Tribolium castaneum: one gene and its partner. The protein of the gene in region 1 purifies or fractionates together with the protein of each later gene. This does not show direct contact. Links are inferred from orthologs where the notes say so. Each region holds a gene or a part of one and is shown on either strand. Other genes may lie near its edges. The genes, in order: Abp1 and Neurl4.

Evidence for each region.
Region 2: the proteins of Abp1 (region 1) and Neurl4 purify together in Homo sapiens (co-immunoprecipitation; 4 studies listed by BioGRID and IntAct, counting the BioPlex papers as one, with this or other methods). This does not show direct contact. The link is inferred for Tribolium castaneum from reciprocal best matches to the Homo sapiens genes DBNL and NEURL4.

What each region holds. Positions count from the first base shown.
Region 1 is NC_087394.1:35,486,784-35,495,626, reverse strand, and holds Abp1 (drebrin-like protein), read right to left. Parts: upstream 4,397-8,843; 5' UTR 4,295-4,396; coding exon 4,212-4,294; intron 4,150-4,211; coding exon 3,044-4,149; intron 2,597-3,043; coding exon 2,457-2,596; 3' UTR 1,892-2,456; downstream 1-1,891. Other genes in the region: alpha-tocopherol transfer protein, read left to right, coding at 5,612-5,732, 5,779-5,929, 5,983-6,235, 6,286-6,396, 6,449-6,554, 6,603-6,754; ciliary microtubule inner protein 2B, read left to right, coding at 8,788-8,843. UniProt on the Homo sapiens protein: Adapter protein that binds F-actin and DNM1, and thereby plays a role in receptor-mediated endocytosis.
Region 2 is NC_087398.1:5,349,707-5,358,549, reverse strand, and holds the start of Neurl4 (neuralized-like protein 4), read left to right. Parts: upstream 1-3,756; 5' UTR 3,757-4,050; coding exon 4,051-4,254; intron 4,255-4,301; coding exon 4,302-4,403; intron 4,404-4,449; coding exon 4,450-4,563; intron 4,564-4,609; coding exon 4,610-4,887; intron 4,888-4,936; coding exon 4,937-5,159; intron 5,160-5,205; coding exon 5,206-6,076; intron 6,077-6,127; coding exon 6,128-6,227; intron 6,228-6,276; coding exon 6,277-6,470; intron 6,471-6,519; coding exon 6,520-7,985; intron 7,986-8,029; coding exon 8,030-8,267; intron 8,268-8,316; coding exon 8,317-8,765; 3' UTR 8,766-8,843. Other genes in the region: HCLS1-associated protein X-1, read right to left, coding at 1-53, 110-391, 445-477, 530-609; nonsense-mediated mRNA decay factor SMG8, read right to left, coding at 811-993, 1,097-1,878, 1,924-2,320, 2,367-2,643, 2,698-2,910, 2,962-3,248, 3,299-3,431, 3,482-3,522. UniProt on the Homo sapiens protein: Promotes CCP110 ubiquitination and proteasome-dependent degradation. By counteracting accumulation of CP110, maintains normal centriolar homeostasis and preventing formation of ectopic microtubular organizing centers.

The DNA of each region.
Region 1 (8,843 bases):
TGGGTCACCCTGTAGATCAAACTCGTAAACAACGAAATCCATGCTTACAACAGCGGAAGCACGAACAACTAGTAACTAGTATAATTAAGAGTCTATTTACCATTATAATTTTAATTACATAACAAAATAATCAAGAAACAGTCAAAAATGTGTGGTAATTTCCAACGTTCTATAAGTAACACCATAGTGTTTAAAAAAAGTTTCTTCATACGAAAATACCAACTAAATATACTTCTAATGACATTTAGCTGCCTACGTTTAATTTCTGTGTTGATCCTATCACACGTTTCATAAAACGTATCGCTAAAAATGTTAGAATAAATAATTCATTTGCATATTTTTGAAATATGTCGGATCAAATTTACACAAAATTGGAAATAATAATACTATTGATGAAGCAGAAAATAAATTAATTTAAATGATAGTGTATTTAAATTATAGGGCATTCATTACCACCTACGCATTTTGTAATTTTTCGTGGCGTACTTTGAACTGATAAAATATTGACGTAATTATTAAATAATGTTTGATCAGTCTCATTAAATAGTGTCCCATTTGGGAGAATCCTAAATCCCTTCAAGTTTAGTCATTCATAAATAATTTGTCACCTGCGAAACCCGAATTAGTACAAGTTTCGCCAAATATCCGCCAAAGCTTATCGTTTTAGTGGATAGTTATTTTGAATTTTGCAACTGGCGTAAAAACGTGGTATTCACGTTCGATGATGATTACAGCGTGTAAAGCGAACTTGCCATTCAAAAAATCCCCTTTGTTACAAAACTCGTAATTAAATTAATTCCGAGCTGGAATATTCGGGAAGTATAAATTAAATTCGCATTGCAGCAATGCTACAATTGCACAATTAGGAAGTTTTAATCATCTCTCGGAAGGTGTACCATTCTTGTGCTAGGTCAATCCGCCAGGCTAAAATGTTGCCTGTTGCAACTGGAAATAATAAAGGAATCGATTGCACATGTAGTACAATATACACGAAGCGAGCAACTTTATGGCTTTGTCCTGGAACAGTTTCCGAGCAAAATGCTCGTCATCAATATATTCGAAAAGTGCCCCGCTGTTAAGCTGTCAATTCCAAAATTATCGTAACTATGGCGACTTAATCATAATGAAAATAACGTTGCTGGTCAATTCCGGCGATACTCACTGACCAAAGCTTCAGATGCACTGCCACTTTGTTGTACCTCATCTCAACCGTCGTCTTGACTGATTTTGCTAATGCAACAAGCCGATAAATTCAATAAATGAAGCTGCACACTCGACTTGTCCAATCGATAAATTACCATCGAAACTGTTACGTATCACAGCCAGTGGCAATTTACTGATAAGGTCGGGAACGCACATTGGAACCCCATTGCAAATTTGCTGACTCTTTCACTCAAAAACTGAACATTCTTTCCACTGCATTCAAATGCATATTTTCAAATTCCAAGCGAAATAAATCAAGACTGGATGCCAAACGAAATATTTCGTATTTCCGGAAGCAATTTCCCAATAATGACAGAAATTAATGGTAATACGAAACGCATTTTATCAGCGAATTTCATGAATAAAATTACAACCAAATTTCATTAATAACAATAAGATTTTATACGGTTTTAATGTATTCATCAAATTTTATGTGCCGCTGAACTCTAGAAATGAGTGAAATTTTAAAGCTGTTGTCGGCTTCAAATTGAAATGATCGATGAGTGCGTATCTAAAATAAATCACACTGTTTTGTTTCAATCGCTGTAAAATAATAATAATTTATTTGCGAACCGTATACATCACAAATATTTAAAAATTATTTGCGCTTTGAGGGTAAATATCAAAGCTAGTTTAAACGCAATTAAAATAATTAAATAATTTCAGGACGATGCAATAAAACACCCAATTGTAAAAAATTACGTAGCTTTATTATCCATAAATACATACAAGATTACAATCGCTATATACCATATCACAAAGTAAAGATTTATGAAGTGCAAAAGATCATAAGTCTTGGTAAATGTTTATTTGTGCTATGATGCAAGTAAGTCGTACAATATTATAAAATTATTTATCAACAGTTAACTGTTCCATAGAGTTTTTAATTAAAATTTATAATAACAATCATTGAAACGCAATTTTAACAAACAAATTGGGGTTTTAATTTGGTGAAGTTGGCACAGAAGAGCATACCCTAGCTGGCAGTGTGGCAAATCAAAATAAAAAGGCGACAAGCTTTAAAAATAAAAAACACACCGTTCGTAATTTATTAAAACATTAATACTTCACAATTCGTTTTATTGCACAAGAATAATTACAAACGGTGTGTCGATACGTTCCTAAAAATAAAATTTTGGTATTTTTTAGTAAACTTAACCTATTATCGACAAAATATTGCGCTTGAAAAATACTAAATAAATGCGTTATGAGCAATGGAATAAGCGAAGCGACGGTAGAAATACAAATGAAAATTATTGGATCAACTCAACATAATTAGCGGGGAAAAGGCCATAAGTACCATTGGGAGCCAGTCCTTGCCACCATCCCTTGTCAACTTGATCAATATTCGTTATTATGTCGCCTGGATCAAAACTGATCTCGGTATCGTCCACTGGAAAATAAACATTGATTTGAATAACAAGGCGCTAAAATTGATCATTTATTATGAATATGCAGAGTGTAAACAACCAACGAGCTGAAATAAACATTGAGTGTTTTTCTGAAATCGAAATTAATAGTACAGACTGCTTTGTAAACTTTACACAGGATTATATATTATATATTAAATTTTATTAGTCCTGAATAAATTTAAATTTAGCACACGACCCTGAACTTCGTCATTGTAAACAAATATGATAGTATTTGAGGTCAACTCTTTAAAATCCGTTACACTGTTCAAAAACCATTAAGTTTAAGTTAATAAAAATTAACCACAGAGTTCTTTTTACGAATGAAAGAATGAAGAATAATATTAAATATGGAGATAAGTGCCGGCTGAACACTGCAAATTTCCGCACCAACGATTTCAGAAAAAGCTCTACAAATAAAATCGTCTTACCAGCCTGATAATCGTACAACGCTCTAGCCTGCAGTCCAGGTGTGCTAAACTCATATAGATACTCATCAACAAATTGCTGATCTGTAATTTGCTCCACCCGCTCCTCTTGGGGCTCTTCCTTTCTCACTTCAAAGACTTCCTGTGGCGTTGTGGGACTAGTCACACTCTTCTTTTCCACATCTTTTGGTGACCTTTTAATTGTGGAAAACTGATCACTTTCGTCGTCACTCTCCTCCAACTTATTTTCCACACTCAATTGATTTTGTGCTTTCAAAATGGAATTTCTGACCGGTTTTTCGGGCACTTTTTTCTGCCCGGCCACCGTGTGCTGTTCAAACACCGACCGGGCGTCAATCGTTCTTTGTGCTATTAAATCGTGCGCCTCTTGATTTCGCTGTTTTCTCAAAACATCGCTTTGATTAACTCTAGTTGGAAAATCATCGTCGTAGTTCGAACCGGAAACCGACTCCACGGCGGCCTCCTTTTCCGCTTGTTTGATTTGATCAATGTTGTTATTCCTGAGGGACATTTCCGCATCCCGTTTGGCCGCCTCTTCCAATTCCCGCCGCCTTAGCTCTTCCTCGTTCTTCATTCGCTCCATTTCTCTGCGTTTCCGCTCCTCTTCGACCCGTTTCTTCTCTTCTTCCTCCTCTTTGCGCCAAAACTGGTCCCGTTCACGAGCATTGATTTCTTTTATGGGATTGACGCGTTGATAAGTGGTCCCAACGGGACCTGTGGGCTCGATAATCTCGGCTCTGGGGGCTTTGAAACTGTATGCCGAGCCCGATTTTGCGACCTTATCTATGATGAGCTGAGGCTCGACTTCCTCCTCGTTACGAGCGTTGATTGTTAGGTGAGCGCCGGTGAAAAATTTCTCAATGTCGCGTAAGTGGTTGGCGGATATGCCTTTACGCACCGTATTGGCGCCTTCTCCTTGCCAATTGATTAGAACGAACTTAATTAAAGAGGTTTTCGGGTCGTTCACTTTCACAAAGGCGTACATTATTTTTCCGCTGTTTAAGTCTTCCGTTAGTTCCTCGATTCCGTTGGAACCCTTACTCACAAATTTCAAAACGTTGGTTTGACCCTCGTAGGCGAATAGGGCCCTAAAATGCGAGCGAGACACCCATTAGGCAAAACCGCATAAATTATTTAAGGAGTGTATTACCAATCTGTTGGTGTTTTCGCATCAAGCACATCTTTCCAAGCTGATACAAGCTCATCCCGGTATTTGTCTAAATTTATTGACATGATTTTAATTCATTAAAGCCGGAAAATTAAGACAATTCAACAAAGATAACAAATCACACAACCACTTGACGTTTGACATGTGAGAGAAACCACTACCAACGGCACGGTCGGAAATCCCTACATTTGAAAAAACGCGCAATTCCATAACATCCATCAGCATTTTCCGATTGTTTGAAATGTTCTTTGCTCTTTTTGACGATTTAAACGAAAAATTTGTATACGTAAAAACGATACTTACAACAACTGTAAAACGATGAGAAAATGCTTTTAGCATGAATATTAATTTAAACTACATTCGGTTCACTTTCATAAAAACCATTGTGGTGGAAATTGAGTTTATCCACCAAAAAACTTCAAATAATCACTTTTCTTAAACTGCTTACCAACATAATATAGTCAATTACGGTCTCGTTATATAATCAAATCATATGCCATATCCAGGTCAATATATGCCATATGAACCTCATCTCCATATGAGGTTCAATAATTATGCACCAAATAAAATTTATGATTATCTAAGTAAGTGGAAATATTTTGAAATAATGTGTATTTCTAATCAACATGTCTCCTTTTCCATGACATTTTAAAAAAAAAATTGTTTCCGAAATTACTAAAATTTTACTTACAAATGTTTACTAAATACTATTATAAAACGTTACTGGCGTTTTTTAAGTAAATATTATAACGAAGAAGACAACTGGTGCAGCTTTAGATTCACCACGACTTGGTGTAGTTACTATGAAGTAAAAACTACCTTACAGTAAATTTTCAAATAAGATTTACGTTTTAAAGACACCTGCTTTTTACTTACTTAATGGTTTAAGTCATTGAAGTCAAATATAATGATTTATTTACCTCCACATTACTATTGATTATTTAATTAAACTTTACATTACTTTAAAGTTGTAAAAAAAATAAAATCAGTTAAAAATCCTAAGTTTTAGTCTTTGCAATTTAAGCTAATTGGGTACTTTATTATCCACCAAAACATTTCTTAAATTGCTAACCGATGTTTTTTATGCTTGTAAAAATTATGTAACAAAATTTCCTGCACTTTATTTTTATTTATTTCAAACAATCAATCAAATACTTATCTTTAACAATAATAAAACTTTTATATATTTTTTAATGACAAACAAAACAATTATAAGATAGGTATCAAAGTGTTTATTGCCAATTTTATCTTTTCATAAACCTGATCCACTTGACATCACCCAAACAACTTCAACCTCTATTTTCATTTAATTCCCCCTTCAAGGCGGTGAACATTTTGCTCTCTTGTCCAGTTCCAAGTAGTTCCCCCGAGTAACAACAACGATGGCTCTCACTTGCATCGACCACGAAAAATTATACGCTAAAGACGCCAACGTGAAGCGTGAAGACGTCAGAATCATCCAAGAATGGCTGAAAAAACAGCCCCATTTGCCAATGCTCGAAGGTCAGTTTGATTTTATTTGCGCTTTTTCCTCAAGTAACATTTCCAGAAATGCAAATAATCATGGCCCTTCATAGCTGCTACTATCGAATTGAAGCGGCCAAAATTACCATTGACAATTATTTCACCATTCGAGATGTTTGTCCGGAGTTATTTGAGAGTTTAGATCGAGATGGTATTAAAAGGGTTTCCAGTGCTTTGTATACCTATTTCAAACGCTCATTAACGTCACAAATAAATCGGGGAATTACAGGTTTGCGAATGTTCTCACGAAAAAAACTCCCGAAGGATATGGTATCCTAATGTTGCGACTTTTCGATGACAAACCCGAAGTTTTCAACTGTGCCACTTTTCTCAATTACATAGTTATGGTTGCGACTTTGCACTTGCATCAGAACGGTTTCCTAAACGGAGCTATGGCAATTTTTGATATGAAGGGTTTTGGCTTGGGGCATGCAGCCAGACTCAACTTAAATGTGATCAAACATGCACTAAGTTTCGTTCAGGTATATATTATAACCAACTTTAAGATTTGTGTACCTAACGATTGTTTCAGGATGCACTACCCGTTAGGATAAAAGGAGTGCATGTTATCAATGCTCTTCCTCTGGCTGATAAAGTTTTGGCCATGTTGAAGCCCTTTATCAAAAGTGACCTGTACAATATGGTACTGTAAAAACGTAAAATGGCCTTGTTTTCGCAACTGCTGGCTTTTTCAGATACAATTCCATCCTCCGGGATCCGAAACCTTGTATAAACACGTACCGAAAGAATGTTTACCGGAAGAATACGGGGGCCAGCTTTCCTCAATGCAAACCTTGAATGGTAAGATTTTTTCAGCGAACGAAACGAGTTTCAAGTTTTTTTTGACAGAAAAAAGCGTAAACAATATGTTGGACCACCTCGACTTCTATAAATGGCACGATGGGCAAAAAATCGACGAATCCAAAAGAATTGGTAAATCGAAATTTGCAAGCGATTTTGGTGTTGATGGAACTTTTAAAAGACTTGATGAAATCGACTAATACGCACAAATGTGCAAGTTTTATTTTATTACCAATTTGAAAAAAAAAAGAAAATAATTAGGTATTCTGTTGGGTATTTGTGAACTTGGATTTTTATAACACAAACCTTGACATAACAATAAACATGTTTTATGTGAGCATTATCTTTCTTTGATATTACTCTAATTATTTTTTTAATTAGCTCTTTGCCTTCCTTAATTACACGTGAGGGCGAAAGTGTAATTGATAGGTAGCAGACCTTGAATTATTGCATTTTGACACTGAAAACCTATGGCCAAATTATTACCACTAAAGGTCACCCAGGTAAGTTAATTAAGAGGAAACTAAATTAATCCAAAATTAAGTTAAGTATATAAATTATTCATAAACTTAAATTAGAAAAAGTGTTCAAATATTTGGGTTGGTTTGTTTACTATGGATAACTACCAAACAAACTCACAAAAAATATAAATAAGCAAAACCAACGCTTCAGAAAAAACTTATTTTTACTTTTAAAACAAATTCAGCACTCCTTCATGAAAATCCTTCTAACTTAGTTTTACGAGTTAGATATTCAAACGATATTTACATTTTAAAGAATGTAGTACGTTTTGTGCATAATAATTTTGAAAGCATAGATTTTACATTTCAAAAGTAACAGCACCGTATGTATTTATTTCCACTTTTCCAGCATTCAAATATGAAATAATTCTCATGTCATGTTTCTGGTATTGTAAGTTTTTGTGTTAATTTTGCTTTAATGACATTTTTTTCGAATTCATTATAGTGTCATTTTCCAATTAAAATGCACTATTATGTAATTGGGCGCTCAAATGCACACATTATCATATTTATTTTGTAAAAAAATTGAAATTGCGACCACACAACTAATTTTCTCTAATAAGTTACACAATTAGCATTTCTTAATTAATGAACTTTATAAATTATTCTATTAGGTTCTCGAAAAAAGCTCTATTCAAAAATGCCAGCAGGGATCAATCTTGCATTAAAAATGACTATGCAGATTTTAAAAACTTCCACACGTGTGGAAAACTTCAATTAAAAAGGCAGGTTTTGCTGAAATACGTCACTGTTTCTGAACTTTGTTTAGCAAAATTTGAAAAAAAAAACTCATTTCTTTTGTTGAACCTTGAATACAAAAAGAGTCGCTTTTCTTCTTTTTTATTCTTTTATATAGTGGATTTCCTTGGCTCTAAATTTGCCATCAGGATCCAGTATGTCGCAGACGCAATTATCTTACGTTATAAAAAATTATTATATCTATTAAGTCTTTTTATTATAATTATTATGCTGACGTGCTCTGAATACGCTATTTTGGAACTAGTTTTATTATATTTCTGTAAGCAAATGACGTTTTTATTTCAGATTTTTTATGACTATTGCTTATTATCAAAATGAATTAATTAAATAAATTCTAAACAACCGATGCTTAAATGTTATTTTGTGAAAAAAAAGACGTTACTTGAAAAATAAAAATTCAAACAATTCTATCCGCTCAAGTCGTTTTGTTAGGGACTGCAATTTTTAAGTCACCCTCGTACATCATTAGAAAACTGTATTAATTGTTTATACATATTATTATTTAAAACAGGTAATTAATACTACTTTATGCTGCAATAATTATTTCTTATAATTATTATTAAGTATAAATAGATATGACAGCAAAATTGAATAGAATGTTAGATAATTAACAATTAAAAAAATGTAACAAAGTAGGATACTGGTTGTGCATATTTTACAAAAATCCACGACTAAAAATCGAAATTTAAAAACGATCAATTGAACTACCTACCATTTAAAAAAATGAAAAAATAAAACGAAAGTAATAGACAGTAACTGTCCCACTAAAAATGCATTCTCCGCTTTTGTGTTCTTGTATTTGAAAAGAAGGTGCAGCGCAGAATCGACCACCACGTTCATAGTATTATTGTTGTGCGATTGTTTCGAGTTTCCTGCTGCACGTGAAAAGCTTTCATTGTATTCACTTTTCGTGCGCTCCCGAATGTTAAAATTCACTTATCCAGTGCAGGAGCATGTTTTCCAGCTTAAATGATGAAGAACGACAGTCTTTCTTGGCCCAAAACAACGA
Region 2 (8,843 bases), on another chromosome or scaffold:
GCGTTTGAGAATTTTCACCCTTAAAAACCGATCCCCAATCCCTTATATCCAACCTAAAGTAAATTTTTCAACGGATTAAAACAAAACAAACAAAAATTTTATCGTATACCTGCCGTCAATGTCTTCATCTCTTTTCTCTTCAATTCTCTCCTTGGGTTTCTCAAACCCAGGTTTGAGGAATTGATCCCTTAAAGTCCCAGATTTTGGCGCGCCTTCGTCATCAGGGATTTCCTCAATTTCAAGCTGTGGCAAGTCAAAACTGTGGTTAAAACCATCCCCAAACTCATGAAAACCAAAATTGCGCAACATTTCGCTCATTTGTTGCTCGAAATATTTGTGCATCTCAAAGGGGTCGCTAAACATGCTAAAACTTTGGAACGGCGCCCCAAATCTACAATTAACATCGATAATACTAGAGTTATATCATCGTGTTTCTTTACGTACCCCTCATCTCTACTTGGGGGCTCAGGCCAACTCCTGCAAAGATTACAACTGAAGAAAAGCAATGACACGAGAGATGATTACTTACCTGTCTCGTTCGTCGAATTGGGGGCTCTCCTGTCGTGAGGAAAACCCCAAAAATCTCTTAACTTTGTCGTAGAATTCCATTTTATTATTTAAACATCACACACGATTTTAACTAATGAAATATTCCAGAAACGTCAAGTGTGGCATGCAACCAACAATACATTCGTGATCGTGATAAACATAGCCACACAAATGGACTTCCAAATTCTCGAAATTCGTAAGTCATTCTCACATTCGGGTCTTTCAAACTCGCATAAAAAAATTCCAGTCATTGAAAACCATTTATTCTATTTCTGTTACTCCAAAAACGCCCTGTAGTAGCTTTGCTCCTAAATTTTGCGGGTAGTGTTCCTTATCCGCAACATAGACGTAAGGCAACCGCATGACCCAATAGGCCGATTGGGTCAGTTTGGTGGGCCGTTCCACCGTACTGATGAAAATGGGGGCCCCGGGTGCGGGCTGCACCTAAAACAGCCCCCCTTATCTCTCCAAGGTTCAAACAAGGTACTGAGTTTTGTCAAAGTTTTTACCAAAAAATAACAAAATTTCGAAAAAATTGACAAATTACCTTTGGGTCCAGAGTGCAATGCACTGGAGCCTTGGGGGTAACAACATGCAGTCGCATCAGTTGTGCCAACTTATTGGCACGACACATGCACGGATAATACAAGGGCATATCCGACTCTGCTATTTTATGCCCAGTGTCCTTCACAATGCTCCCCGGCGTGGCCTTGAGAATTTTATCCGGGGCTGCCAACATAAATCTATGTCCCGACGAACACTCATACTCCACTCCAATGAAAACCTTGACCGAAAACTGGGGCGAAGCCCCCGTCGGACGTCCCCGACGCCCCCTCGCCGGGTACTTACTAACCCAATTCATTTTCGCCTTGCTATACACTGTCACGTCCCACGGGAGCAAGTAGTTAGTAGAGTTCAAAAAACCGGGATGGTGCGACTCCGACAGCCCCAAATTGTGGCTGTAAAGCGAGGAGGGGCCGAGGCAGACGAGACTCCAGCTGGAGTAGACCGGGAGGAGGCCAGGGGGCGAACTCAGGGTTAGCATTCCCGGTAAATATTCGGTCGTGCTCGGCTGGCGGACCAGCCCCCTTTCGTTTTCGGGGGTGAGTTCATTGGAGCGGTCGGAGAGGACCGAAAGGGCCTCTTCGGTCTCTTTCAAAGTCGCTGCTTTGTATTCTTTGATCGAGGGTTGGAAAACGGGGAAGGAAATGCGCTCCAATTTCGAGCAAATGCATTCGCGACTGATCGCTTGGTAGAAGAGGTGATTGGCTTGTTTGGCGTTGTAGGGGTCCTCACGCGGGCCGATTTTCCGGCCGCAGTCGCAAACAGCTTAAATAACAGTTTGCATAACGCGGCACAAAAATTACAACCAACCTTTGTAAATAAACCCGCTCATGTGCTCCTGATCTGACTGATGTTTGGGCAATTTGCACGGGTTCCCGGTCATGGAAGCCGCCTCGCACTGCTGTCTCCCGTTCTCCCAATGCGCCTTGCAGTCGGCCTTCAATTTCGTGACGTATTGCTGGAACACAGGGCCTCTGGCCTGAGCGTTAAAGAGGGCCAAGGCCATGCTGAGGCGCCTGTCGTGCTCTGAGTGCGCGTAATGTGGCGGCAAGTTTTCCTGGTACCGCGCTAGCGCCAAAGGCAGGACTTTGAGACACCTCTGTTCGGAAAATCTCGTGTCGGTGCATAGCGACGAGATCAAGCCTTTTTTCATTATCACTTCGTATATGGCCTTGGTGCTCTCAAGCCAATGTTTCAGTATGGGTAACTGTGAAAATTAGTCCAAATTTTTGTTGGAGAATATGGGGAAGTACCTCAAAGTGGGCCGGTTGTGACAACTGATGCCGACTGGAGCTCCCCGTGTCGTTAAAACCCTTAGTCCGGGCCTGTTTTATGTGCACTTGCAAGAATTTCAAAAAGTGGCGTTCGGAGTAAGGCTGGCTGCAAAATGGGGGCTGGACTTGCATAGCGCCGCCAGGCTGGCAATCCTGAATCAAGCCTCTGACGGCATCCCCTAACCGGTCAGTGCTTGGCGCTTCCGTCGATATGTAAACGAATTCCTCATTCATCGGAATTGCAAAAAGCGACGAACTTTAATGAGCGAAAAATAATCAAAAAATTTATGTCACAATATTGCTAAAATACCCATAGGTTGAGATTATCCGTGTCTTTTTCAAAATGTGGTAAATGCGATCTTCAAGGTTGTGTTCAACCTTCTTGATGTTGTATGAGCCCTTCGGGCACTGCTCAAAGTAGAAAATAACACGGGGCGTGCAAAACCGGCCATTGGAAACCCAATCGGGGCTCAAACCGTCAACGTTTTTCAAAACTTCGCTTATTTTATTGAGTTTTTTTTGACTGGAATTATTGCATGAAGACCTATTTTCGTTTAAATTTGCTCCGTGTTACCTTAACGTATCCACAGCCTTGAAATACTGGATCCAGTTTGTATCAAAAGTCCACCCAGGATGAGACAAAATCATAATGTGACTCACGTGAAACAATAGTAAGAGCGCGCGAGCAAAACTACTCTTAATTTCGTCGTTAATTACAAGTAAATCGTCGCACTTTCGTTCATTATTGCACCGCTCAACGAGACTTGAGTAGTGTTTAATTAATAAATCTGTGTCTAAAAGACTGTGGAGGTGGAGATAAATGATCTGGTTTTCCTCATCATAGAAACCCTCAATCGTACACTAAAATTTAAGGCAAATAAAGGCAATTTCGGAAATTAGGGTTCTACTACTTCATCGTCGCTTTTACACCCTGCTGTAAAAACTCGCCCAATTGACTTGGCTTTCATCCCCATTGAGTTGTAAGGGGACTTGCCCATGATTGAGATAATTACGACTTTGTCGCAATTTAAACCACTCACCTCCCTAGAACAGCAGATCTTAGCTACAATATTTGTTTATATACAATTTAGTACAAAAGAGGCTGAAAATCCGGTAAGATAAATGTTTCTTTCATCTTTGTTTTTTGGGGTTAAAACTGATGACAGGATATCGGTGAAAACAACACCAAAAATCATAATAGATAATAGAATCTATGATGAACATTACAGTCGACCAGACAGTCACTGCGCCCATGGAGCTAGCACCATTTCCCCCACCATTCTCGTTTTATACAGCCAAGTTGACACCAGAAAAATAATCGTAAATCATTATAAAAACATCAATAAGCTGTTACGCTGACTTGCATACCACATTTGTAGAACATCTCCTGACCATTCATTTAATTTCTGCATTTCAACAGAAATTCCGATTCATGGGTTGGTAGTTTAAAAATTTGGAACAAACGATCTACTGGGGTAACCTCGGACGGAAAAAAACATAATGATTCACACAACTTTCGGCTTTTTCCAATAATCCTCAATTAGATAAGCTAAACGAAGCATCGCTACTTATCAATCGATAAGAAATTTCTTGTTTGGGTGAGATAAGTTGGCAGCCGTAATGTTTGGCAGTTGACACATGATCGGCTGTTTACAAATGGCCGATGACAGCCCCTTTTTGCTTCAAATTTGAGCCAGCAAACGGGCACACAATGGCATATTTTCACTACCGTTGCGGCGAACGCATTACTTTATTAAACGACAATTGTACGGCGGTGCGCAGCGACAGTGACTTCGACAATGGTTTGGTAATAACGGCCGAACCCCTCGTCAACGATGTCCTTTTCGAAATAAAAATCGACAGAAAAGTACACCATTTCATAGTGATAGTTCAGCGTTTAACTGCTGGTTTCAGGTCAATTCCTGGTCAGGGAGCCTCGAAATTGGCGTGGTTGACTGTGACCCCTTGCATTTCGATTTTCCGGCATGCTCTTCAAAAATACAAGCCACCTCATGGGTACGTTGACCTCTACATGGCCAGTTGGTCATTACTTGGGTTGCAGATCATGTCAGGAATGTCGTTCTTCAAGAGCGGAAATTGTGTAATTGAGAGGTATGGCGCCGATTTGGATAAATTAAATCAGGATGATAGGATAGGTTTAATGCGCACATCTGAGGTATTATGACCCAGACACGAATTTTTGCACACAAGTCCTGTTTAAGGGTGATTTAATTTTCTACGTCAACGGGGAGTCCCAAGGAGTCGCCGCTGAAAACATCCCAAGTATAGTCTATGCCATAGTCGATGTTTACGGCAAATGCGTCCAAGTCAGTATTACTAGTCCCGCCCTCCGGGAACACAACAACGACGACTGCCTCAGCGGCAGTTCGGTCCTGGCCATAGAAAACGATATCTTAAATGTGACCCTAGGGGGCGACTTAAGCGAACTCAGCATGAGCAGTAGTAACAGTCTTGATATCCGTATGGATATGAACGTGAGGTATATTTTTTACATAAATGTGGGGCACCTATTAAAATAGAAAACACAGTCTGAGTCTCCCAGAGGAGTGCCCCCGACCAGATAAGTTACGTTTCCACGATCGTTGCGGCTCATTGGTCAAACTATCAAACGGCAATCGGACAGCTGAACGTCGCCGGCCTTTAGACGAGTTCAACAACGGGGTGGTCATGACCCACCGCCCCCTACGCGACTCGGAGCTGTTCGAAATCCGAATTGACCGCCTCGTCGACAAGTGGAGCGGCAGTATCGAGGTAAAATAGTGCCAAAGCGAGCCAATCGCCAATTGACTGCCTGCAGATGGGCATCACTACGCACAACCCCAGCACGCTGGTATTCCCCGCCACGATGACCAACATGCGCAGCGGCACCATAATGATGTCCGGTTGTGGCATCCTAACGAACGGAAAAGGCACCAGACGCGAGTACGGCGACTTCAACCTCGACGAGTTGAGCGAAGGCGATCGCGTCGGCATGATGCGCAAGCCCGACGGCAATTTACACTACTTCATAAATGGGCTGGACCAGGGGGTGGCCGCCCAACGCGTCCCTTCCACCGTTTGGGGCGTGATCGACCTCTACGGCATGACGATCAAAGTATCGATCGTTGAACGCGACGAAAGAGAAGAGCAGAATCTCATGACGCGTAAAAACACCCGCGACCAACAAATCCCAGTCCCTGATCCCCAACCTCTTCCCGACTACTATGACCGGTTGACCTTTCATCCGAATTGCGGTACGCATGCGCAAGTTATTAATAATGGCAGGACTGCCCATAGGCCGAACGCAGCCGATGATTTTAATAACGGGGTGGTGCTTACGGGGCGGCCTTTAAAAACGGGGGAGTTGTTCGAGGTGAGGCTGGATAGGGTGGTGACGAAGTGGGCGGGGTCGATTGAAATAGGCGTGACGACGCACAGTCCGGTTGATTTGGAGTTCCCGTTTACTATGACGAATGTGAGGTCGGGGACGTGGATGATGACGGGAAGTGGGATTATGCACAATGGGACGATCGTTTTGGAGCAATATGGGGTCAATTTGGACAGGTTGCAAGTGGGGGATCGCGTGGGCGTGGTCAGGAAGGAAAATGGGTTGTTACACTTTTTTGTCAATGGGGTGGATCAAGGGGCGGCCGCTTCGAACGTCCCCGAGAAAGTTTTCGGAGTCATAGGTATCTAACACAATTGAAATATTAAATTCCTCAATTTGTAATTTTTCTAAGATTTATACGGCCAGGCTGTTGAGGCTTCAATCATCGACATGTACGACTATGGATCACCCGATACAATTAACTCGAGTTTATCCAACACAACACTTTACAGGTAGGTGCGTGTCTTGTCTGGAATTGCAGCTAATTTGCGAAACCACCAGTGATTTGAGGTTTCACCACGTTCATGGCAAAAACGCCCGGATTGTGAACGGGGGCTTGACCGCGTTAAGGCCTCGCCCCCTTTCGGAATTCAATGATGCTATTGTGTTTTCGAGTCGGCCGCTTCGCGACGGCGAACTTTTCGAGGTTTGTCTCGACAATATCGTCGATCGGTGGTCGGGAAGCATCGAATTAGGTCAGTACGGCCGACATTATTACCCAGTAAGTAATAAATCGTCCTAAAGGTGTGACCGCCGTTCGCCCCGACGATATCGAGCTTCCGGGCACCGCCACCGACCTCTGTCGCGACACCTGGATGCTCAGCGGATCCTCCATTATGGAAAATGGCACCACGGTCAAAAACAACTACCCCTGCGACTTGGACACTCTCGACGCTGGCGTTCGAATTGGAGTCGTGCGTTCAAGCGACAAAACTTTGGAGTTTTACAGAGACGGTGTCCCCCAAGGACCCGCCTGTATTGTCCCCCACAGTACGGTATATGCCGTTGTCGATCTCTACGGGCAATGTGCCCAAGTTAGCATTCCTTGTGTCTCCCCACTTGTTCCTATTCCCACAAATTTAGATAACTGTCCCCGGTCGGACACTTCCATTAGTTTGCAAGCGGTTAGTGTAGTCCAACCGGCGGTTCAAACCGATCTACATATCTTCTCTGATTGTCACGGCAAAGGCGTGTGTTTGAGTGACGGTGGCCGATTGGCCAAACGCACGAAAGATTTAACCGGGGCGGTGGTATGTAGCGCCACAACGCTCGAAAGGGAGGAGCTATTCGAGGTCACTATAGTTTCATTGGTCGAGCATTTGGCCGGAAGTATAGTCATAGGCGTGTCGGAAACACCTCCCGGGAAATCCAACATTAATATCTTCGAACAATGTTGTTACATCACCGGGAACGAACTCAGATTTAGAAACAAAACAATTCAGTTATTTACTCCGAGCTTGCATTGGCTGAACGTCGGGGACCGAATCGGGTTACTCCGAACGCTCGATGGCGCTTTAAAAATTTTCATAAACAGTGAAGAATTAAACTTGTGTTTGCCCCCTCTCCCTGAGACTTTATACGTGGTTGTAGACCTGAAAGGGTCGTGTAATGCCGTCGCCGTGACCAGTCACAAGTCACCCTTGTGGTCCCTAAACAGCGCACGGTTGCAAGACAGTCTCGAACTTTGCAACCAAGAACAAATCGAACTGGTCAGAGATCCGGACGTGTCAACAATTTACGAATTTCACGACAACCACGGACGAAATATCGAGATTGTTGAGGGTCGTACGACTGCGAGACGTGTCGCTTCATATAATCAGGGCGTGGTGATCGCTCAGCCCGCCCTCGAGATCAGCTCAAAGGTCCAGATCATAATCGACCAACTGGAGACGCGATGGCAATCGTCGATTATCGTGGGCGTGGTTTCGGGACCACCTGAACGTTTGAATCTACCTGTCAATGCACTGGCGTTCAAAGCACCGTGTTGCATTGTCGCAAACGATTGGATTTCGGTGAACGGGGTCAAGTCACGTTCGAACTTCGGCCAACGTTTGAGTAATTTACAAGTTGGCGATACTGTGGGTGTTATGTTGACCCTTTCCGGGTTGAAGTTGTTAGTGAATGGGATTGAGGAGGAAGCTTTGTCTTTTGTTTTTCAAACGGGGCAAGCCATTTACGCTGTTTTTGATCTCTACGGGCAGTGCCAACAGGTAAAGGTGCGTTTGTTGATTCGTGGTGAAGCAATTGATTGCAGATTAAAATCTTGAATGATGTTGCGCAAGAGGTGGCCGAAAATTCGGTCACTGATTACGAAAAGGCGGACCTTGAAAGTTGCGAAAAGGAGCGACTGACTTTACCCATACCCTCAGCAAGTACTAGTCTAACATCGTCAGGGGGCGTGTCGCGTCCCTCACCGCCTAGTCCAATCAAATCGCTGATTTGTTCCTACAGGGACGAGTGTCTCACGTTTAAGAAACGCCTCCTTTTGCCAGGTTCGCCCACTTACGTAATTTAATCCCATACGATTTTTTTTTCTCATAGATAATTATTTTACGTCAGACGACCCGATCTGCCACTGCTCGACTTGCATAAAAGGCGAGAAAGATAACTCTCTCCTGGGTTGGGTGAAATTTCCTCTGAAAAATTCAGCCAATACAGCGACCGATAAGTGGCACACGGCCTTCTACGTGTGTAAGGTGGGGGCGGTGCGTTGTATACTCGACAAAGGGCAGCCGCTGACCAAAGGCCAGGCCCAGTGGTGTAATCTAGTGGCACAGAAAGAAGACGATGTCCAAGTCGTTTTTTACCCAACCTTACAAAACTGCAAGACTTCAGGGTACAAGACAAACAATCGAGTGGTCCATGCCGCTTTTCAATTGTTAGTCAAACCGAGCGCCTACTCCGTATCGAGGGATCCACCCGAATGGAGCACCAAAGAAACCGGAGCAATTGTTCTACATTCGCTTTTGATTCAAATTGAATGTAATTAAATGTGTAGCGATTGGTGTGTGCAATTAAACATTCGGAATTTTTTTTGTCGAGCTGTGATTATGTTAACGAATTTAGTC